Saccharomyces cerevisiae S288C: one gene and its partners. The protein of the gene in region 2 purifies or fractionates together with the protein of the main gene of each other region. This does not show direct contact. Each region holds a gene or a part of one and is shown on either strand. Other genes may lie near its edges.

Region 1 (7,670 bases), on a different chromosome or scaffold from region 2:
ACATCTAAATTGTTCAGAAACAATCCATGGTATTTCAGTCTATCTGTTAAACTTTTTATACAATCAGCATAGTTTAGGTATTCTGGAAATAACTTTTCATCTAATGGGTAGTCACATCTCCTCGGGGGCTCAAGTCCGTCGTGAATAACAGGGTCTTTAGGTTTTTTGAGAAGAATTGTTAATTCTTTAGATCTTTCCATGTTCTGCAGTACTGCTTCCCTACTAGAACGATGCGGGAGATCAGCAGGTGTGATCGGAATATATCTTCTTGGTATATCTTTTAAACAACTCTTATGAAATAGCATTCTTCCAATAATAATAAAGATACAAAAAACGCCAAAGACAACTAAAGCGCCTACAACAATGAACGTATTAAAGGCATTGTTTTCTGATTTAGAAGCTTGTGCAATGGAATCTATGGGTAAAACAACTGAAAACCCAATCAAAAGTATCAAAGAAACGAAAAGGGAAGCTTTGTATAACCACGACTTGAGTTTTGCGAATCCGGACATCTACTGCTAAGTATGGACACTCGTGTCTATAGATAGTATCAGGCCAAAGTTGTATAGCGGTATCTTTTTTTGAATAAATTTCAATGTGTTTTCCTCTGTTTAACCTCCCACTTTCTTTGATGCTCAAGAGCAATAACTTTATCGCAAAATAACAAAACTTTAATATGTGTTGTAATTTTGGCTAAACCCAGTTCAACATCACCACAAAAGAAGGTTTCCTTTATGCCCTTACCCTTTCTGCCTTCTTATTCTAGAATTTGTTTTGATGCTGTATTTGTTTGGTCCTTGTTCGTCATCGAAAAACCGGCCCAAAAACGGCTAATAAAAACGTGAACCTGTTTTAAGTCTTTTGCTATAAAAGATATTTATACTCTAAAAAAAGGGAAACTTTTGCAGCAAAACAAATTTTATGCATTAGTTCTCTGTTCTTAACTTGGTCAGACAAAATTCGTCCGTTTGTAGTTGTCTGTACAGGAATTCATCGAGCGATATTCTATCCTGAAATACATATGCCATTAAGTTACATCCTGAATAGATTCCTAGTCATCTATCAGCAAATATTCATCTTTTAATTTGAACCAATTCCGTTTTGTTCCATGTAGTTTCAACCAGCTATTCAATGACTGCAAGTAAATTTGGTTATTCTCCCCAATACAGTTCAAGTGCTTCAAGGTCAAAATAACATCATTGACTCTCATTCCAGTCACGATGGAAAGATCCTCCAGGGTCACTTTATCATAATGGGCGAGGTCACCTTCAATAAGGTGCCAACAGAGTATCTGTGACCAATATTTCAAGTACCCGATTAGTCCAAAAGGTGATAACGGTACTTCTGGCCCTGATATTACACCTTCTAATTGGGATAGTTTGTATGAAAACTCGATAAGTAAAAGGCCTAATCCACGTCGTTGATATGGGGGAAATATCAAGATGCACGCTAGATTATTTTGCTGATATGACACTAAATCTTTCGAAAAGAATCCCATCGGCTTTGTTGATCCAGTTTCATAAACTATGTAAAATTCATAATGATCTACTTTGAAATACATGGATTTATTGTCCAGATATAGCTTAGTGAAAAGACAAAGACATTGGCAAAAGAGTTGATACTTGGATCCTTTTACTCTTCTTATTGTATATTCAGGACTCTTGTATTTTATTTTGCCTGGAACACGATATTGAAATGGACAACTTGCAACATGTCCTACAAACCGCGTCTGATCATCCGTGTATTTGAAGCAGTATTCACAAACGAAAAGAGTGTCTAGCCAGTATTGGCTGTTAGAAACAGAGGAAAGCTGACCCTTGGTCTCGGAGCACCCTAGCCTTTTTGTTTCAGGATCGAAATAAACGGCGCTCCCATACCAAGTAGAGAATTTTTTATTCAGTCCAAACTGAATCTGTCTTATGTTCCTTTCGTTCAGTATTCCATATAGCATCTCTTTTTGAGTTTTTTTAATTTTTGCTGAGGGCTTATTCTTGCCTTTTCCACCATTCTTCTTTCCTTTTAGCTTCTGGGTAGTCGCTGTGAGTGATTGACTTAAAGATCTTGCCATTTTTTTTGCGAGTGAAAACAAAAAGCAACTAGAAAATAGGAGCCTCCAATATCAAAAAATCAAACTTCAATTTAACAGATTCTTAGAGCGCTACATACTCTATCCAGTTCGATATGGACAAGACTTAATGATTTCATCATCTCTTCTGATTAACGATTCTGTTATTCTTCATATTTACGCGCCTAACATATCATGATGATTGGGTGTTCCGAAAATTTTCATTGGCGATGAGCTGAGTATTGAAAGCTCATTATAGTATTAGTATATTATTGTTAATAGCAAGTGCTATATGCTATAAAAATGCAATTACAACCCAATACTAATAATAGAGTGTCTTAAGAAATATAAGTATGGGTACTTACAGAAAAAGGTTTAATGAAAAAGCCAGATCCGGCCATATGGCCAAATTAAAAGAACTGAAAAGAATTAGGAATAAGCAGTTCACTAGACAGGATGAAAACGATGAAAGAGTAGAAAACCCAGATTCAGCTCCCGCTGAGAGTTCTACTACGGAGCCAAATGCCAATGCGGAAATTCTTGAACCTCTCACTGAAGAAGAAAAGAAAATGAAGAAAAGAAAACTACAGGAGTTATTTACCCCAAAGGAATCGAAAGTTTCGAGATTGAAGAAGAAAAGACTGGATAAATTTATTGAACATCAATTAAAAAGAGAGGAAAGAAAGACAATTATTGGTAAACTTCAAGATTATAAGATAGATACAAGTTTGTTGACAAGCTCTAAAAGGTTAGGAGAGGGCAGGCAGACTAAAAAGGAAGAATTCAAAGAAGCACTGAGTTTAGAACGTCAAGGAAGAGGAAATGAACAAACAAATGAAATATTATACGAAGAATATGAACCAAAAGTTTGGGATGAGTATGGTGAAGGAGGGAGCTCTGAGGATGATGACGGCGAAGATGATTTCGAGGCTTCATTTGGTAGTATGCCGAAACCAACGGACAATGAGGAGAAGAAATCATCAGGTTTTATTGATCATAGACCAGCAAAATTTGGTGGATCTGGTCTTAGCTTTGGGTTTAGCAATATAAAAGTCATAAACAAAGAAAGCAAAACTCCGAAGAAGAAATATAATTGGAGACAACGAGTAGAAATGGAAGAATTGAAGAAGCATGGGAAAGAAGATGAAATGGATTTCGACACGACATCTGAAGATGATGACGAAGAGGAGGATCAGGAAGAAGAAGACAAAATGCATCCTAGTGAAAACCCACTCGAAGAAGTTGAAAGCGCAGATAGTGAAACTGGCTCAGAAAAATTTGACCAAAATGATGTTGCTAACGAATTCAAGGATTGGGCCAATCAAGAAATAAAAAAATTGGAAGGTAGAGATCAAGAGCTAGTTACTCCCACTTTGAACATCGATTATAAACCGATAATTAGAAAGGAAGATTTAGATGATGGTCTCCAAGAAGCTTATGTTCCAATAAACGAGAATTCCACCCGTAAAGCCTTCTATGTTGAAGTTAGCAGATCAGATGAAATTCAGAAAGCAAGAATTCAACTACCAGTATTTGGTGAAGAACACAAAATTATGGAGGCTATTCACCATAATGATGTAGTGATTATTTGTGGTGAAACGGGGTCAGGTAAGACTACACAAGTCCCACAATTTTTATATGAGGCTGGGTTTGGTGCCGAAGATTCTCCAGATTACCCAGGAATGGTGGGTATCACTCAACCAAGAAGAGTGGCCGCTGTGTCCATGGCTGAACGTGTAGCTAATGAATTGGGGGACCATGGTCATAAAGTAGGATACCAAATTAGGTTTGACTCTACCGCAAAGGAGGACACAAAGGTCAAGTTTATGACAGATGGTGTCTTGCTACGAGAAATGATGCACGATTTCAAGTTGACTAAATATTCCTCCATTATCATAGATGAAGCACATGAAAGAAACATTAACACTGATATTTTGATCGGTATGCTTAGCCGTTGTGTTCGGTTAAGAGCTAAACTACATAAGGAGAACCCGATCGAGCACAAGAAGCTAAAACTCATCATCATGTCAGCTACATTAAGGGTATCAGATTTCAGCGAAAACAAAACATTGTTCCCCATAGCGCCCCCTGTCTTACAGGTTGATGCAAGGCAGTTTCCAGTCTCTATTCACTTTAATCGTAGAACTGCATTCAACTATACAGACGAGGCTTTCAGAAAGACTTGCAAAATTCACCAGAAACTTCCTCCTGGCGCTATATTGGTGTTTTTAACCGGTCAGCAGGAAATTACACACATGGTAAAAAGGCTAAGAAAGGAATTTCCTTTTAAGAAAAACTCCAAGTACAACAAAGATTTAGAAACACCCGTTTCTAAAATGGGTATCAATTCAAAAACAACAGATTTGGAGGCTGAGGATATAGACTTCAGTGTACAAGTTATCGATCAAGATAAGTTCAAGAGCGCGATAAGATACGAAGAAGATGAAGGTAACAGTGGAAACGGTGAAGATGAGGAAGACGAAGAGGAAGAAGGGTTTGAAGAAGTCCTAACTGAAGGGCAAACAGCTAACGATCCTTTATATGTCCTTCCACTGTATTCTCTATTACCAACCAAGGAACAAATGAGAGTCTTTCAAAAACCTCCTCAAGGTTCTAGGCTTTGTATTGTTGCAACAAATGTTGCAGAAACATCGTTAACTATACCTGGAGTTAGATATGTTGTTGATTCCGGGAGGTCTAAAGAGCGTAAATATAATGAATCAAATGGCGTACAGAGTTTTGAAGTGGGCTGGGTAAGTAAAGCTAGTGCCAATCAAAGAAGCGGTAGAGCAGGTCGTACTGGACCAGGCCATTGTTACCGTTTATATTCGTCTGCTGTTTTTGAACATGATTTCGAACAGTTCTCTAAACCTGAAATCTTAAGAATGCCAGTGGAGAGCATCGTGTTACAAATGAAGAGCATGGCCATTCATAATATCATTAATTTTCCATTTCCAACTCCTCCAGATAGAGTTGCCCTTTCCAAGGCAATACAATTACTGCAATATTTAGGTGCTCTTGATAATAAGGAGATGATTACTGAAGATGGTAAAAAAATGAGCCTGTTCCCACTTTCACCCAGATTTTCCAAAATGTTACTTGTTTCTGACGAAAAAGCCTGCCTTCCTTATATTGTAGCAATTGTTAGTGCCCTTTCGGTGGGAGATCCTTTTATCAATGAATTTGAGTTGGGAATAAACGAAATTTCTAGAAAACCAAATCCAGATGAAAATCTAGATGATAAGATTAGAGAGCACGATGAATCAACACCAGGTATGGATCCTGAACTGAAAAAGGAATTGCGCAGTAAATTCTATAAAAGCAGGAGTCAGTTTAGTAAATTAGACAAATTTAGTGACGTATTCCGTTTATTAAGTGTTGTAAGTGCAATGGACTACGTTCCAAAGGAACAAAAAGAAATATTCATGAAGAAAAATTTTTTAAGAGGCAAACTAATGGAAGAAATAGTAAAATTGAGGAAGCAGTTAATGTATATCATCAAGTCCAACACTTCAAAAGAAAATATTGCCGTAGTAATTAGGAATGAAGACTTGAAAAGTGATATTCCAAGCGTCATACAAATAAAACTTTTAAAACAAATGATTTGCGCTGGTTTTGTCGACCATGTTGCCGTAAGAGCAGATGTTTTATTTCCAGATGATGCTAAGATAACCAACAGAACTTCCATAATCAACATTCCTTATATTCCTGTTTTGGCCACGAGAACACCAAATATCGAGGACTGCTTTGTCTATATCCATCCGACTTCAATTTTAAATAATTTGGGGGAAATGCCACCCAAATACATGCTCTATTATTCCTTGCACCTTGGTGGAAATAATAAAACAAGGATGAATACTTTATGTGACATCGCAAGCACCCCCTTAGCGAACATAGCAAGAAAGGGACTTCTTTTGACATACAGTAAACCTCTGACTGGTCAAGGCTTGAAGACCGTTAATTTATCACCTACGGAACGGTATTGTTATGTGGTTCCTAGATTTGGATCCACAGTTGACAACGATCTCAAGATTGGTTGGGATTTAAATCCTATAGCAGTGCATCAGAAGAAGCAAAAAGGCCAGTGGACAGTCATTAAGTTTATCACCAGAAAGGGCTTCCAGACCATCACAGGTGAAGAGAAAGAAAAAAAATAATGCGCTGGTATTATAGAAATAGAGTTTCATTATATAAGAACATATAGGAAGAATACATTATTCCTATCTAGGGCATCAAATAATTGCAACCACTTAATGTTAACTTCCTTCATAATTCAAAACATTATGTTCTATAGCACTATGTATTTTATGTCATTATATACGTAGTCAATAACTTTATACGTTTTTTTTATTGAACAAAAGTAAGAATTGCTTAAGACATAATAAGAGGAAACTCATCGAACCAATTCAAAACGGATTATAGATTTATCATACCAGATACGTTTATCAGGAGGCTTGTATAATGGAGCACAGATATAACGTGTTTAATGATACTCCACGAGGGAACCATTGGATGGGCAGTTCTGTGTCAGGATCACCACGTCCATCTTATAGCAGTCGTCCTAATGTAAACACAACACGACGCTTCCAATATAGTGACGATGAGCCCGCTGAGAAAATCCGACCTTTACGCTCGAGGAGCTTTAAAAGTACTGAAAGTAACATAAGCGATGAAAAATCAAGGATATCTGAACGTGACAGCAAAGACCGCTACATTAATGGTGATAAAAAGGTAGACATTTATTCACTGCCTCTAATATCAACCGATGTTTTAGAAATTTCCAAACAAAGGACATTTGCGGTGATATTGTTTTTAATAATTCAATGTTATAAAATATATGACCTGGTAATACTTAAATCGGGGTTACCGCTTTCGGGTTTACTGTTTAAGAACTATCGATTTAATTTCATATCCAAGTATTTCATTATAGATTCCTTCTTCCTGTATGTTTTACCATCCTTTAACATTCCTAGGTTGACTTTTAAGCCATGGGTTGTTTATCTCCAGATTTTAGCTATGCTACTATTGAACATTTTCATATCAAGCGATCACGAGTTCGTTTTGATTTCATTAATTATGACCACATGGAGAAAACTTTATACGAAAGAATTAAGTGTAACAGGTTCAGCCATTAACCATCATCGTATTTTTGATTCTTCCGCTCATTTTAAGGGTGCTCTAACAATCAAGATCCTACCTGAAAACACAGCTATGTTTAATCCTCTTCATGAATCATATTGTTTGCCCATGGATACCAATCTTTTTAAAATTAACTCAATTGACGTACCCATCAGAATAAACTCAACTGAAGAGATTGAATATATCGAGTTGGAATATAGAGATCTTTACACAAATTCGGTAGAGTTACGGTCTTTGAGTAAGAAAGACTTCAAAATCATCGATAACCCCAAATCCTTTTTAAAAAAAGATCAGTCAGTTCTAAAGTCACATTCAAACGATTTTGAAGAAGGCAGTACAATTCGTTATTTGGCTGTAACTCTTCAAGATATTGGCTTTTATCAAATCAAAAAAATTGTTGATTCAAAAAAACTGAATTTAAAGATCCATCAGTCACACTTGGTTGTACCCTACTGTCCAATTGCAT
Region 2 (4,568 bases):
CATCAACTTATTACTATTCATTTTATATATTAAACAATAAGTATGAATGCCTAGTATAATTTCTTAGTTGTAGGATTACTGGCATGCAATTCTGCCAACTGCGATAACCTTATGATCTATTGATGTTAAAACAATATTGTTGGTAATGTATTTGGAATCAATCACATTAAGAGCAAAGTCTGGTTCTATAATTTCGACTTCGACAATAAGTGACTGATTTGGATTAATTGAGATGTCGTTAGTCCCGAGAATCTTCACCAATTTTACCGCGTTGTGCGTCAAATTATGGTAAAGAAGCAATTCAGAACCCAAGTCAACGGGATCACTTAGCGCGTGCGTTTGTATTGATAATTTTATTAAACGCAAGGCTAACAACTTTAGTGTGTTTGGTAAATTCGGTGATAGTGTATTCGTCTTTCTAGAGTGAATTATTATATCACCCTTACGAATGTGAAATTGCTTTTTCGTGAAGTCTTCGGTATTATGAATCTTAACAAGAACCTCTAAAATGTCAGGGTTCAAACCGACTGATATATTATTTTTTGTGTTAGTCTCCAGTATTTGTTTTGAATTCTTCATTCTTGAAACTATACCATAGTAATGAAAATCTTCATATTGTGTATGAATTTCAATTGTCTGGCCTGATTGAATATATCCGCTGTTGATCAAGACTTTGAGTGACACGTAATTTATCTCCGCTATCGGTTGAAGAACAGAAGATTGCAGTATTGTGCCTACAAATGGCTCTTCCAAAGTTGTTTCTATTTTGTTCATATTATGCTCTACCAATAGATATAGTTGCGAAAAAAATGTCGGACCTTCATACCATTCGGGAACATAATTTATAGAGTCAAATTCTGACTTATACTTAGATTTTGTGATGTTTTCAGTTTTATTCAAATTCGAACCTAATAAACCCGAACACGGGATAAATTGGAATTCTGCGTCTGTCCACTGAAAGTTTTCCTTCAACACATAATTTAGCTCAGACTGAATCATTTCTAGTCGGTGCTTATCCCAACTAATTAGATCTGCCTTATTCAAAAGAATTATCAAGTGCTTTTTGCATGCGGAATTCTTGTTCAAATAAGAGATCACTTTTAAAATTTCATAAATCTGATTATTTGGACCATCTAATGATTTTTCCCACGAGTCATAATTGCAATCAATAACCAATACATAAACTTCAGGATCAAAGGTCAAAATTGAGTTCAGAGTTTCTTTATTGAAGTATTTGATACTACCAGGAGTGTCTATAAGCGTCAAGGTTGATGATGGCGGTAGTAAATCATTTTCTACCTGAATAACTTTCTTAAACATGGAAAATCCATTTTCTCTTTCTGTTTTGGTATTGTCTAGAATGACCTTAAAACTATTTGAAGATGAAGGATCCAAATTACTGCTTTTTTTTTGTAGTTCCCTCATTGATGACATAGAAATTTCGTTTAGATCATATAAAAGATGACCAAGCAAAGTGGATTTGCCTGCGTTTGTATCACCGAGGAACAAACATGTCAAATTCAGAGGATGGGTGGCAATGAATGAATGAATATCAATCGACTCAGTAGGTGGTGTTTGAAGGTTAATTGGTTCCTTTTTTTCGGCCTTGGGCACAGATTTGATATTTAAGTTTTCTAATTTTTCATTGAAAGCATTAAGTTGGGCCGATTGTATTATATCATCAGGACTTGGTCTATTGAAATTCTCAATGGCTACTTTACGAGTTGTTTTCGGCAGGTTACAAGGCACAAAAATACCAAGGAGCTCATTGTTATGCTTTTTTAAGGACAGAAATGATGAATTCTGCGACGATAGCGGTATTGATGTACTCAACGAGTTTTTTTTATCTTTTATGATAAAGTTTGTGAACGCAAAATCGTCGGTTTGATTTATGCATGGATCGTTTTTCAAGAAACAGTAATGGTTCATTTCTTTAATAGCCTTCCATGACTCTTCTAAGTTGAGTTTATCATCAGGCGATTTCCTTTTGGTAGGGAGTTCGTTTTCTTTGCTGTCTAATGTCACTGATTTTCCTTGTTTCTCCAAATCACTATTTGACTTCTTTAAGGCAGACAACTTTAAACTCAATGAAACACTATGCTGGTTCGGGGTAAAGTCGCTTCTTTTTACCTTGTCTTTTGCAAGTAGCGTCTTCAGATCCTTCCTTTTTGTCTCAGCATTGTTATCTTTAGTTTCTCTATTCTTATGTAGTCTTTCTAGTAAGGATGCACTTTTCGATGTACTATGAGACTGGTCCGCACTTAAAAGGCCTTTAGATTTTTCTATTCTTTTTCTTGCTAATTGCTCTAATAACGACATGTCAGGTGGTACTGTAAGTTTCGAAGACCACCTCCTCGTACGTGTATTGTAGAAGGGTCTCTAGGTTTATACCTCCAATCTGTTATAGTACATATTATAGTACACCAATGTAAATCTGGTCCGGGTTACACAACACTTTGTCCTGTACTTTGAAAACTGGAAAAACTCCGCTAGTTGAAATTAATATCAAATGGAAAAGTCAGTATCATCATTCTTTTCTTGACAAGTCCTAAAAAGAGCGAAAACACAGGGTTGTTTGATTGTAGAAAATCACAGCGATGGCAGATTATGATAGTGCGAAATATTGGTCCAAGCAGGGAGCTCGTCGTGGGTTACAGAAAACCCGTTACTACTGCCAAATATGCCAAAGGCAATGTAAAGATGCAAACGGATTTCAATCACATAACAAATCGCCATCTCATTTAAGGAAGATTAGTCAAGTGACAGCTGAGGACGCTAGGCGCTACAATATCCAGTTTGAAAAGGGATTTCTACAGTTATTGAAGCAGCGGCACGGAGAAAAATGGATTGATGCTAACAAAGTATACAACGAGTATGTTCAAGATCGCGATCATGTACATATGAATGCCACCATGCATCGTTCTTTGACGCAGTTTGTCCGGTACCTAGGCCGCGCGGGCAAGGTAGACGTGGATATGGATATTGATGATACATCTGAGAACGTTGAAGGTCCTTTGCTTATCAGGATCCATCCCTCATCTTTATCATCACCTTCTGAAGATGGAATGCTGCGAAGTCAACAAGAGGAGCAAGAAGTCATAGCCGCCGAGCTTTTGAAAAGACAACTCAATCGTGCTAAGCGACAAACTGAAAAGGTATATCAACCAGAGATGAAATCGGAAATTAGCGGGGATAGCACTCTGAAACGTGTTCAAGTCACCTTCCACGGGAATGGTCGGGTAAATAAAAAGAAAAAGAAGGTTCCTCCACGGAAAGATGGTATCAAGTTCCGTTGATTGAAAATTTTTCTTTTCAAGCGATGAGGTTAGCGAAGTTGTTCGAACAAGCCCAAATATGTTTAGAAGGCAGTACGAATTGATACCCTGAACTGTTACTACCCGTATACACGTATTAAGTAAGACAATGAGTAATGGACACGTCAAGTTTGATGCCGATGAAAGTCAAGCCAGCGCAAGTGCTGTCACGGATAGACAAGATGATGTGCTGGTAATATCAAAAAAGGACAAGGAAGTGCATTCAAGTAGTGATGAGGAAAGTGATGATGATGATGCTCCACAAGAAGAAGGGCTTCACTCTGGGAAAAGTGAGGTAGAATCACAGATCACTCAGAGGGAGGAGGCTATAAGGCTGGAACAATCACAATTGCGGTCCAAGAGAAGGAAGCAAAATGAATTATACGCCAAGCAAAAGAAATCAGTGAATGAGACAGAGGTCACTGATGAAGTAATTGCGGAGCTTCCTGAGGAATTGCTAAAAAATATAGATCAGAAGGACGAAGGTAGTACGCAGTACTCATCTTCAAGACATGTAACTTTCGATAAATTGGATGAGTCAGATGAAAATGAAGAGGCATTGGCTAAAGCTATAAAAACTAAGAAAAGGAAGACATTAAAAAATTTAAGGAAAGATTCGGTGAAAAGAGGAAAATTTAGAGTTCAATTGTTATCCACCACACAAGATTCTAAAACATTACCACCAAAGAAAGAATCATCCATCATACGTTCAAAAGACCGTTGGCTAAATAGAAAGGCTTTGAATAAAGGGTAATATATAGCATACAACATAATAAAATAATAGTACAATCACAAAATTAATCATAATGTTCATTTATCTATAATCAAACAATGAGAATATATACTGAAGTTTGGTAGGTTATTCTTCAGAGATGCAGTACGATATCACCAACGGTATGCAGACACCTATCAAAACATAAACGGATTCATCATGAGGTAAAACGACTTCCTGTTCAACGCTGAGATCGTGATCATGAGAATCTCCACCAACAAATGCTGTGAAAGACGCATATAGTAAACTGCCACCACTCATAAGCAGAAGATTTCCACTTATCCAATCCATCGTTGGCGAATGACTCAGATTCAAAAGGGATAACACTATGTATCCGATCGGAGTCGATGACGCAAACAAGAAAACGTTACAGATCACCTCCCATTTCATTAAGTTTTGTCTCGATACCATCAAACTAGTGAGGGAAAGAACGGCAGGAATTTTATGAATAACTATAGCAATTAACACCACTATGAGCAGTG
Region 3 (5,694 bases), on a different chromosome or scaffold from region 2:
CAATGATAAATGGTAAGGTACAAATTTTTTCTCTGACATCTACTATTCCAAACAAAGTTCATGAGTTAAATGATTACATAGTGGCCAATTCATATGATGATACACACAGAGATAAGATACTCTCGAATATGATGGATGATATAGATAAAGACAATGATAATGACCTGAGTGAAACGGCTGATCCAGATGAGAACAATGTAGCTGATCCAGAATTCTGTGCTGCTAATAGAATTTGCACGAGAGTGGCTTGGCATCCGAAGGGTCTGCATTTTGCGCTACCATGTGCAGATGATACAGTAAAAATATTCTCTATAAAGGGATATTCCCTACAAAAGACGTTGTCCACAAATCTCTCATCAACAAAGGCTCATTTCATTGATTTGCAATTTGACCCGTTACGTGGAACTTACATTGCGGCAGTAGATTTAAATAATAAGTTAACGGTATGGAATTGGGAAACTTCCGAGATCCACTACACCAGGGAATTCAAAAGAAAAATTACTAATATTGCCTGGAAAATCCAAGCGGACTCAAAAACTCTAGACCTTGTTTTAGGTACCTGGTCCGGTAGTATAGCCATTGTCCAAAATTTGGCAGAGTCCGTAGTATCTAATATACCTGACCAATCTGTTGCTGAATCTTCAACTAAACATGGGCTTTTTGTAGACTCCGAATCTGACTTGGAAAACTTAGAGGGAAATGATGATATAAACAAAAGCGATAAGCTATTTTCAGATATTACTCAAGAAGCGAATGCGGAAGATGTGTTCACTCAAACACACGACGGCCCCAGTGGATTAAGTGAAAAGAGAAAATACAACTTCGAAGATGAAGAAGACTTTATTGATGATGACGATGGTGCTGGTTATATTAGTGGCAAAAAACCACATAATGAACATTCTTATTCGAGAGTACACAAGACTCATTCGTTTCCAATCAGTTTGGCAAACACAGGAAAATTTCGTTATATGCCTTTTTCTCCAGCGGGAACACCTTTTGGCTTTACTGACAGGCGTTATTTGACAATGAATGAAGTGGGCTACGTATCTACTGTCAAGAATAGTGAGCAATACAGCATAACTGTCTCTTTTTTTGATGTTGGACGTTTTAGAGAATACCATTTCGAGGACTTATTTGGCTACGATTTATGCTTCCTAAATGAAAAAGGCACTTTATTTGGCCAATCCAAAACTGGGCAGATACAATATAGGCCACACGATAGCATACATTCAAACTGGACCAAGATTATTCCTTTGCAAGCTGGTGAGAGAATAACAAGTGTGGCAGCCACCCCGGTTCGCGTTATTGTTGGTACATCATTAGGCTATTTCAGAAGTTTCAATCAATTCGGGGTTCCATTTGCTGTTGAAAAGACATCCCCAATTGTAGCGCTTACTGCTCAGAATTATAGGGTTTTTTCAGTACATTATTCGCAGTTTCATGGCCTTTCATACTCTTTATCTGAATTGGGTACTTCTAGTAAAAGGTACTATAAAAGAGAGTGTCCACTTCCAATGAGTTTACCAAACATTAATTCTGATATGAAAAAAGACGCAAATCTTGACTACTACAATTTTAATCCGATGGGCATCAAAAGTTTGTTCTTTTCAAGCTACGGAGATCCATGCATTTTTGGGTCCGACAACACGCTTCTATTGTTATCAAAGTGGAGATCACCAGAAGAAAGTAAATGGCTCCCTATTCTAGATAGCAACATGGAAATATGGAAGATGTCAGGAGGGAAGGAAACGACAGATATACATGTCTGGCCCTTGGCTTTGGCGTATGACACATTGAATTGTATCTTAGTTAAGGGCAAGCATATATGGCCCGAGTTTCCCCTTCCGTTGCCATCCGAAATGGAGATTAGAATGCCAGTATTTGTTAAGAGTAAATTACTAGAGGAAAACAAAGCTATATTAAATAAAAAGAACGAAATTGGAGCTGACACCGAAGCGGAAGAAGGGGAAGAAGACAAAGAAATACAGATTCCTGTTTCTATGGCGGCGGAAGAAGAGTATCTGCGCAGCAAGGTTTTGTCAGAGCTGTTGACAGATACACTCGAAAATGACGGTGAAATGTACGGCAACGAAAATGAGGTATTGGCAGCATTGAACGGTGCATATGATAAGGCTTTGTTACGTTTATTTGCGTCTGCATGCTCAGACCAAAATGTTGAAAAGGCTCTTTCGCTTGCTCATGAATTAAAACAAGATAGAGCACTTACTGCAGCCGTTAAGATATCAGAAAGAGCTGAGCTGCCCTCTCTCGTTAAAAAAATTAATAATATAAGGGAAGCTAGATATGAACAGCAATTGAAATAAAAAAATGTAAAATATATATACGCAAGAGACAATTATTTGATACCTGTTCATTTGTTCAAATCATCGTTCAAAATGCTCCCACATTAACATATATTTCTTTGAATGCGACGATAATAAAGAGTTACGTTGAACATGATCTGAGCTGGAAGCGTCCTTGCGAATTTTCGCGAAAGGAAAAAGTGAAAAAATATGAAAAAAAAAAAAAGAGATGACATTTTATAGATGAGCTTTGATTAAACAGTGTAACACCTGGTCCTGTACCGTAAATATTCAAATAAGCATCAATTCAAAGTTCTTTATTTCTTCTTTAGCATTTCAAAATTATAGAAAATCTAGAAAAGATGTCAGATGTTACCCAACAGAAAAAGAGGAAAAGATCCAAAGGAGAAGTTAATCCATCAAAACCCACAGTAGACGAAGAAATCACAGATCCATCCTCAAACGAAGATGAACAACTAGAAGTTTCGGATGAAGAAGACGCATTGGAATCTGAAGAAGAATTCGAGGGTGAAAATCCAGCCGATAAAAGAAGGAGGCTTGCAAAGCAATATCTGGAGAATCTGAAAAGCGAAGCTAATGACATTTTAACTGATAATAGGAACGCTGAAGAAAAAGATTTAAACAATCTCAAGGAAAGAACAATCGACGAGTACAACAATTTTGATGCTGGAGATTTGGATAAGGATATCATTGCGTCCAGGTTAAAAGAAGACGTTGCTGAACAGCAAGGCCGAGTCTTCAGATATTTTGGCGATAAACTTCTAATATCTGAAGCAAAACAGAGCTTTACCAGGGTAGGGGAAAATAACCTTACTTGCATTAGTTGTTTCCAACCCGTTTTAAACAAATACACCTTCGAGGAATCATCTAATGGCGATAAGAACAAAGGTAGGTTATTTGCCTATACAGTTAGCAAAGACTTACAACTCACCAAATATGACATTACTGACTTTAGCAAAAGACCAAAGAAGCTAAAATACGCTAAAGGAGGAGCAAAATATATACCTACGAGCAAGCACGAATATGAGAATACCACAGAAGGCCATTATGACGAAATCTTAACTGTAGCAGCCTCACCAGATGGTAAATATGTTGTCACAGGTGGAAGAGATAGGAAGTTAATTGTATGGAGCACAGAATCTCTATCACCCGTTAAAGTTATTCCAACAAAGGATCGCCGAGGGGAAGTTTTATCGTTGGCTTTTAGAAAAAATTCTGATCAGTTATATGCATCCTGCGCAGATTTTAAGATAAGAACATATTCAATAAATCAATTTTCCCAGTTGGAGATTCTTTATGGGCATCATGATATAGTGGAAGATATATCTGCGTTGGCGATGGAAAGGTGTGTTACCGTTGGTGCCCGTGATAGAACAGCTATGCTTTGGAAGATTCCTGACGAGACCAGACTAACATTTAGAGGTGGCGATGAACCTCAAAAGCTACTAAGGAGATGGATGAAAGAAAACGCTAAGGAGGGAGAAGATGGAGAAGTCAAATATCCTGATGAATCAGAGGCACCTTTATTTTTCTGCGAGGGTAGTATTGACGTTGTGAGTATGGTGGATGATTTTCACTTTATAACAGGCTCCGATAATGGTAATATATGTCTATGGTCTCTGGCGAAGAAGAAACCTATCTTCACGGAAAGAATTGCCCATGGTATTTTACCTGAGCCCTCTTTCAATGACATTTCGGGGGAAACCGATGAAGAATTAAGAAAAAGACAGTTGCAAGGCAAGAAATTGCTACAACCATTTTGGATCACATCTCTTTACGCTATTCCATATTCGAATGTATTCATATCTGGATCATGGAGTGGATCGCTAAAAGTTTGGAAAATTAGTGATAATCTCAGATCATTTGAGTTGCTAGGTGAATTATCTGGCGCTAAAGGTGTAGTTACCAAGATTCAGGTTGTAGAAAGTGGTAAACATGGGAAGGAGAAGTTCCGTATTTTGGCTAGTATTGCCAAAGAACACAGACTCGGTAGATGGATTGCAAATGTTTCAGGTGCCAGAAATGGTATATATTCAGCTGTCATTGACCAAACAGGCTTTTAGATTGCTGATATTGCCGTAATTTTCCATGCCCTTTTCACTCTCTCAGAACGCAAAGCGGCTCCGGCTCCCAAGTATATAGAAATAAGCATATAGAATGAAATGTATCTTTTGTAAAATATCTAAAAAAAAAATAGTACATGTATTTTAGTCTTTTTGGTACATTAAAAAAGTTTTCATTGTCACGTATCTGCAATGGCATTCTTCACAAAGCATGTTAGATGCGGGGGGAGGGGAATGATTATGGACAAGAAGACCAATATTATTATTTATTCTTCAATGGAATCGGAAATAGAATGAAGAATTATGACTCCCTGATATGCGAATAGTTTGAACCTAAAACGCGCCAGGACTGTTTAAAAATAACAAAATCGAACATTGTTAGAATGAAACTCTAACATGTTATCTATTTAGTAGTATGAACGGAAGGATAAATAATCGAAATATTATTATGTAGAAATACCGATTCCATTTTGATTCTTATATTCTCGAGAGAACTTCTAGTATATCTGTATACATAATATGATAGCCTTTACCAACAATGGAATCCCAACAATTATCGAATTATGAGAAATGGGTGAATGTTGAGATAATTGTTGGGATTCCATTGTTGATAAAGGCTATAATATTAGGTATACAGAATATACTAGAAGTTCTCCTCAAGGATTTAGGAATCCATAAAAGGGAATCTGCAATTCTACACAATTCTATAAATATTATTATCATCATTTTATATGTTTATATTCATTGATCCTATTACATTATCAATCCTTGCGTTTCAGCTTCCACTAATTTAGATGACTATTTCTCATCATTTGCGTCATCTTCTAACACCGTATATGATAATATACTAGTAATGTAAATACTAGTTAGTAGATGATAGTTGATTTCTATTCCAACATACCACCCATAATGTAATAGATCTAATGAATCCATTTGTTAGTTAATAGTTTAAATGTTTTTATCGGAAGAGGTTTTGTCATCACATCAGCAATGTTCTTCTTGGTCTCGATGTAGTATACGTATAGATTATTACCTGATACTTCATCTCTAAGTCTCATTGCCTTTGTGCCAAAAAATCTGTTTCTAAATTTCTCTTCATTTGTAGACTTAATTATACTGATCGTTGATCTACTATCAGTAAGTAAGCCTTTAATAATTGGTTTCTTGTTAAGTTCTTGCACAAGGTGACTGAGGTTATTCAATAGCGGAATAGCTTCACTGACTGCGTGTATTTCTGCTTCTGTAGTTGAAGTGCATGTTAACGAAGCCTTTGTCGACTTTCCTCCAATCACTTTTCCGTTGAGTAG
Region 4 (5,369 bases), on a different chromosome or scaffold from region 2:
AAGTCCGTTGCAGAAGCTAAGGCTCAATTGCCTGCCGGTTCCAACGGTCTAATGATTGACTACTCTCACGGTAACTCCAATAAGGATTTCAGAAACCAACCAAAGGTCAATGACGTTGTTTGTGAGCAAATCGCTAACGGTGAAAACGCCATTACCGGTGTCATGATTGAATCAAACATCAACGAAGGTAACCAAGGCATCCCAGCCGAAGGTAAAGCCGGCTTGAAATATGGTGTTTCCATCACTGATGCTTGTATAGGTTGGGAAACTACTGAAGACGTCTTGAGGAAATTGGCTGCTGCTGTCAGACAAAGAAGAGAAGTTAACAAGAAATAGATGTTTTTTTAATGATATATGTAACGTACATTCTTTCCTCTACCACTGCCAATTCGGTATTATTTAATTGTGTTTAGCGCTATTTACTAATTAACTAGAAACTCAATTTTTAAAGGCAAAGCTCGCTGACCTTTCACTGATTTCGTGGATGTTATACTATCAGTTACTCTTCTGCAAAAAAAAATTGAGTCATATCGTAGCTTTGGGATTATTTTTCTCTCTCTCCACGGCTAATTAGGTGATCATGAAAAAATGAAAAATTCATGAGAAAAGAGTCAGACATCGAAACATACATAAGTTGATATTCCTTTGATATCGACGACTACTCAATCAGGTTTTAAAAGAAAAGAGGCAGCTATTGAAGTAGCAGTATCCAGTTTAGGTTTTTTAATTATTTACAAGTAAAGAAAAAGAGAATGCCGGTCGTTCACGTGATTGACGTTGAAAGTGGTAACCTACAGTCACTAACCAATGCAATTGAGCATTTAGGTTACGAAGTACAACTGGTGAAATCACCAAAGGATTTTAACATATCAGGCACGTCAAGATTGATTTTGCCTGGTGTCGGAAATTATGGCCATTTCGTCGACAATTTATTTAATAGAGGATTCGAAAAGCCGATAAGAGAATACATTGAATCTGGAAAACCAATAATGGGAATTTGCGTCGGGCTACAAGCGCTCTTTGCCGGTTCCGTGGAAAGCCCTAAGAGTACGGGTCTGAACTACATTGATTTTAAGTTGTCCAGGTTCGATGATTCAGAAAAGCCAGTACCAGAAATAGGTTGGAATTCTTGCATTCCCTCGGAAAACCTATTCTTTGGATTGGATCCATACAAGAGGTACTATTTCGTCCATTCTTTTGCTGCCATTCTGAATTCAGAAAAGAAAAAAAACCTAGAAAATGACGGTTGGAAAATTGCAAAAGCTAAGTACGGTTCAGAGGAATTTATTGCGGCAGTCAACAAGAATAATATATTCGCTACTCAGTTCCATCCTGAAAAATCAGGTAAAGCTGGTTTGAACGTCATTGAGAATTTTTTGAAGCAACAAAGTCCTCCGATTCCAAACTATAGTGCGGAAGAGAAGGAACTCTTAATGAATGACTATTCAAATTATGGTCTAACACGCAGAATTATTGCTTGTCTTGATGTACGTACTAATGACCAAGGTGATTTGGTGGTTACTAAAGGTGATCAATACGATGTACGTGAAAAAAGTGATGGTAAAGGTGTTAGAAACCTTGGTAAGCCTGTTCAGTTGGCACAGAAATATTACCAACAGGGTGCGGATGAAGTAACATTTTTGAATATAACTTCTTTTAGAGATTGTCCTTTGAAGGATACTCCGATGCTAGAGGTTCTGAAACAAGCCGCAAAGACAGTCTTTGTTCCATTGACAGTCGGTGGGGGGATCAAGGATATTGTCGATGTTGATGGAACCAAAATACCTGCTTTAGAAGTTGCAAGTCTATACTTCAGATCTGGTGCTGATAAAGTATCGATCGGTACGGATGCAGTCTATGCAGCCGAAAAATACTACGAGTTGGGTAACAGAGGAGATGGAACGTCACCAATAGAGACAATCTCGAAAGCATACGGTGCTCAGGCAGTTGTTATTTCTGTCGACCCTAAGAGAGTATATGTAAATTCACAAGCAGATACGAAGAACAAAGTCTTCGAGACAGAATATCCGGGCCCCAATGGAGAGAAATACTGCTGGTACCAATGTACAATCAAAGGTGGAAGAGAATCTAGAGACCTTGGTGTGTGGGAATTAACAAGGGCATGTGAAGCTCTAGGTGCTGGGGAGATTTTATTGAACTGCATAGACAAGGATGGCTCTAATTCTGGTTATGATCTGGAATTGATAGAACATGTTAAAGATGCGGTCAAGATTCCCGTCATTGCATCCAGTGGCGCCGGTGTACCCGAACATTTCGAAGAGGCCTTCCTAAAGACCCGCGCAGATGCTTGCTTGGGTGCAGGTATGTTCCACAGAGGTGAATTCACTGTTAACGATGTAAAGGAGTATTTACTAGAGCACGGATTAAAGGTTAGAATGGATGAAGAGTAATGTGGTTGGATATGTATACTTTATAATCTTGACTCAGTCTATATACGCAATAATGATAGATGTTAAATCAGACATTTCACAACACAAGAGGATGTACAGCTTGGAGAAATTGTACCAACTTATATGGTTGTATTATTGGTGGTGTCAGTAGGGGAAGAAATAGAACATATTTTTCCACTTTTTCATTTTTTTTTTTTAGCGAGGCATCGGAAATGAAAATTTTTAAAAATCGATGAGCTCCCACTTCTTCAACATTGACGAAAGGAAATATGCACTAAGTTGTTTTAAATCCAAGATTTGTCTCGTTTTAAGACTTACAGATAAAACAATATATTAGAAAGATTAACTATAATGGCCAGAGCATCCTCTACTAAAGCCAGAAAACAGAGGCATGATCCACTTTTAAAGGATTTAGATGCAGCTCAAGGTACCTTGAAAAAAATCAATAAAAAGAAGCTAGCGCAGAACGATGCTGCAAATCACGATGCTGCAAATGAGGAAGATGGATACATAGACTCCAAAGCATCAAGAAAAATTTTGCAGTTGGCCAAGGAACAACAGGATGAAATTGAAGGTGAGGAACTTGCTGAATCAGAAAGAAACAAGCAATTTGAAGCCAGATTCACCACCATGAGCTATGATGATGAAGACGAAGACGAAGACGAAGACGAAGAAGCTTTTGGAGAAGACATCTCCGATTTTGAACCCGAAGGTGATTATAAAGAAGAGGAAGAGATAGTTGAAATCGATGAAGAAGACGCAGCGATGTTTGAGCAATATTTCAAGAAATCAGATGATTTTAACTCTTTAAGTGGTAGCTATAATCTTGCAGACAAGATTATGGCCTCTATCCGAGAAAAGGAAAGTCAAGTTGAAGATATGCAAGATGATGAACCACTTGCTAATGAACAGAATACCTCAAGAGGCAATATTTCATCCGGTTTGAAGAGTGGAGAGGGTGTTGCACTTCCAGAGAAGGTCATCAAAGCATATACTACGGTAGGTAGTATTTTAAAAACTTGGACGCACGGTAAGTTGCCAAAGTTGTTCAAGGTTATCCCATCCTTAAGAAATTGGCAAGATGTCATTTATGTGACCAACCCGGAAGAATGGTCACCACACGTTGTTTACGAAGCAACGAAATTATTTGTATCCAACCTAACTGCTAAAGAATCTCAAAAATTTATTAACCTAATTTTACTTGAACGTTTCCGTGACAATATCGAGACCAGTGAAGACCACTCTTTAAACTATCATATATACCGTGCGGTGAAAAAATCGCTTTATAAACCAAGTGCCTTCTTCAAAGGTTTCCTATTCCCATTGGTTGAAACAGGGTGTAATGTACGTGAAGCGACAATTGCAGGAAGTGTGCTTGCTAAAGTCTCTGTTCCGGCTTTACATTCTTCAGCTGCCTTGAGTTATCTTTTAAGGCTACCTTTCTCTCCACCTACAACTGTTTTTATCAAAATATTGCTCGATAAAAAATATGCTTTACCGTACCAGACGGTGGACGACTGCGTGTATTACTTTATGAGGTTTAGAATTTTGGATGACGGTAGTAATGGGGAAGATGCTACAAGAGTACTCCCAGTGATATGGCACAAGGCTTTCTTAACATTTGCACAACGTTACAAGAACGATATTACCCAGGATCAGAGAGATTTCTTGTTGGAAACTGTTCGTCAAAGAGGCCATAAAGATATCGGTCCTGAGATTAGAAGAGAACTATTGGCAGGAGCCAGCAGGGAGTTTGTTGATCCACAGGAAGCTAATGATGATTTAATGATTGATGTCAATTGATGCTGTAATATCAATTTTTCATCAATTTTATATCGCTCGGTCTTTCCCCCTTTCAACAAAGCTTCTGAATCATGTATAATAAGTAGAAAATATAGAGTAAAAGATTATTGTTCAGGCAAGTTCCTTCCTATCAATTCTTTATGCATAATCTATCGAAATCATCAAAATATGGCCTATATATTAGCCTATATATTAGCCTATATATTAGCCTATATATTAGTCCATATATTGCAGACTGAATTTTTTTTTCTAAACTATCCATGTTTGCAAGGAATTATCATAAAATGAGCATGTTGCGATCAAAGAATTTGACCAGTCGCCACCGTAACACATCGAATCATGGCCCTTCTTCAGATAATGTTGAATTTGAAAATACTCATCGGAATTATCATTCATGGTCACCACCTTGGCACCATTGTACATGCAACAAACTAAAAGCCGATCGGAGCCGTTGTGGTGAGATTGTTCCTGATCAATGGGGGATTCAACAAATCTCCAAACACCGCCACCAAGATCACACGCCAATTTATTAACTGTGGGGACATTTGCACCAGGAAATATGGACTCACCCATCATCCTTAAATCCAGAGAACGAATGTTATCATCATAGGATCCAGTTATTATGGACGTGGGTTTATTATTTCGAAAGTTAGGTTGACTACACTTAATGCTAACAACACCAGCATCATGAATACGATTATTACTCCAAATGAATTCTTTGGAACGTAAGTCGTGGGCCATAATTCTCGAATCATCACCTCCTGTAAATACAACGTCTTGAAAAGGCTGTAGAGATCCAAATTCCGCAGTCCAACACTCGAGTTCATGGGGTTTCAAAAATTGTCCCGATTCAACATGAATGACTTTTTCGGTTGCACCTTGAACTTCGTAATCTATTTTATCTAGTTTTGAGTAAGCCTGCGCGATTGCTGATGCCGTGAACTGTACAGATAGTGTTCTTATATCAATGGTAGCTGCTTCGCCTGCCGTATTTGTTACAAGTAATTTCTTACAATCAAGTGGGGAAAAATGGCACGAGGCAATGAGAACATCTTTTTCAAAGAGTTGTAGATTTGCAATTGCATGAATATCTAGTTCGTTTGATTGGAAATCATCCTTATCTGTGCACCGTATCCTCCATAGCATGATATTACC

The links.
Region 1: the proteins of BUD21 (region 2) and ECM16 purify together in Saccharomyces cerevisiae (affinity purification with mass spectrometry; 6 studies listed by BioGRID). This does not show direct contact.
Region 3: the proteins of BUD21 (region 2) and RRP9 purify together in Saccharomyces cerevisiae (affinity purification with mass spectrometry; 5 studies listed by BioGRID). This does not show direct contact.
Region 4: the proteins of BUD21 (region 2) and ENP1 purify together in Saccharomyces cerevisiae (affinity purification with mass spectrometry; 5 studies listed by BioGRID). This does not show direct contact.

The regions. Positions count from the first base shown.
Region 1 is NC_001145.3:521,278-528,947, forward strand, and holds ECM16 (ATP-dependent RNA helicase ECM16), read left to right. Parts: upstream 1-2,418; coding exon 2,419-6,222; downstream 6,223-7,670. Other genes in the region: DLT1 (Dlt1p), read right to left, coding at 1-512; SAS2 (histone acetyltransferase), read right to left, coding at 1,052-2,068; POM152 (Pom152p), read left to right, coding at 6,527-7,670. UniProt on the Saccharomyces cerevisiae protein: Probable ATP-binding RNA helicase. Required for 18S rRNA synthesis. May play a role in restructuring of the pre-rRNA.
Region 2 is NC_001147.6:469,302-473,869, forward strand, and holds BUD21 (Bud21p), read left to right. Parts: upstream 1-3,423; coding exon 3,424-4,068; downstream 4,069-4,568. Other genes in the region: SKI7 (Ski7p), read right to left, coding at 76-2,319; RTS2 (Rts2p), read left to right, coding at 2,598-3,296; Mn(2+) transporter ATX2, read right to left, coding at 4,174-4,568. UniProt on the Saccharomyces cerevisiae protein: Functions as part of the small subunit (SSU) processome, first precursor of the small eukaryotic ribosomal subunit that coordinates the first two steps of ribosome biogenesis in transcription of the primary transcript pre-RNA and pre-18S processing.
Region 3 is NC_001148.4:799,694-805,387, forward strand, and holds RRP9 (ribosomal RNA-processing protein RRP9), read left to right. Parts: upstream 1-2,665; coding exon 2,666-4,387; downstream 4,388-5,694. Other genes in the region: chromatin-binding protein CTF4, read left to right, coding at 1-2,324. UniProt on the Saccharomyces cerevisiae protein: Involved in nucleolar processing of pre-18S ribosomal RNA. Required for efficient pre-rRNA cleavage at sites A0, A1 and A2, and biosynthesis of 18S rRNA.
Region 4 is NC_001134.8:711,849-717,217, reverse strand, and holds ENP1 (snoRNA-binding rRNA-processing protein ENP1), read left to right. Parts: upstream 1-2,762; coding exon 2,763-4,214; downstream 4,215-5,369. Other genes in the region: 3-deoxy-7-phosphoheptulonate synthase ARO4, read left to right, coding at 1-336; HIS7 (imidazoleglycerol-phosphate synthase), read left to right, coding at 753-2,411; RRT2 (diphthamide synthase), read right to left, coding at 4,464-5,369. UniProt on the Saccharomyces cerevisiae protein: Required for normal export of the pre-40S particles from the nucleus to the cytoplasm.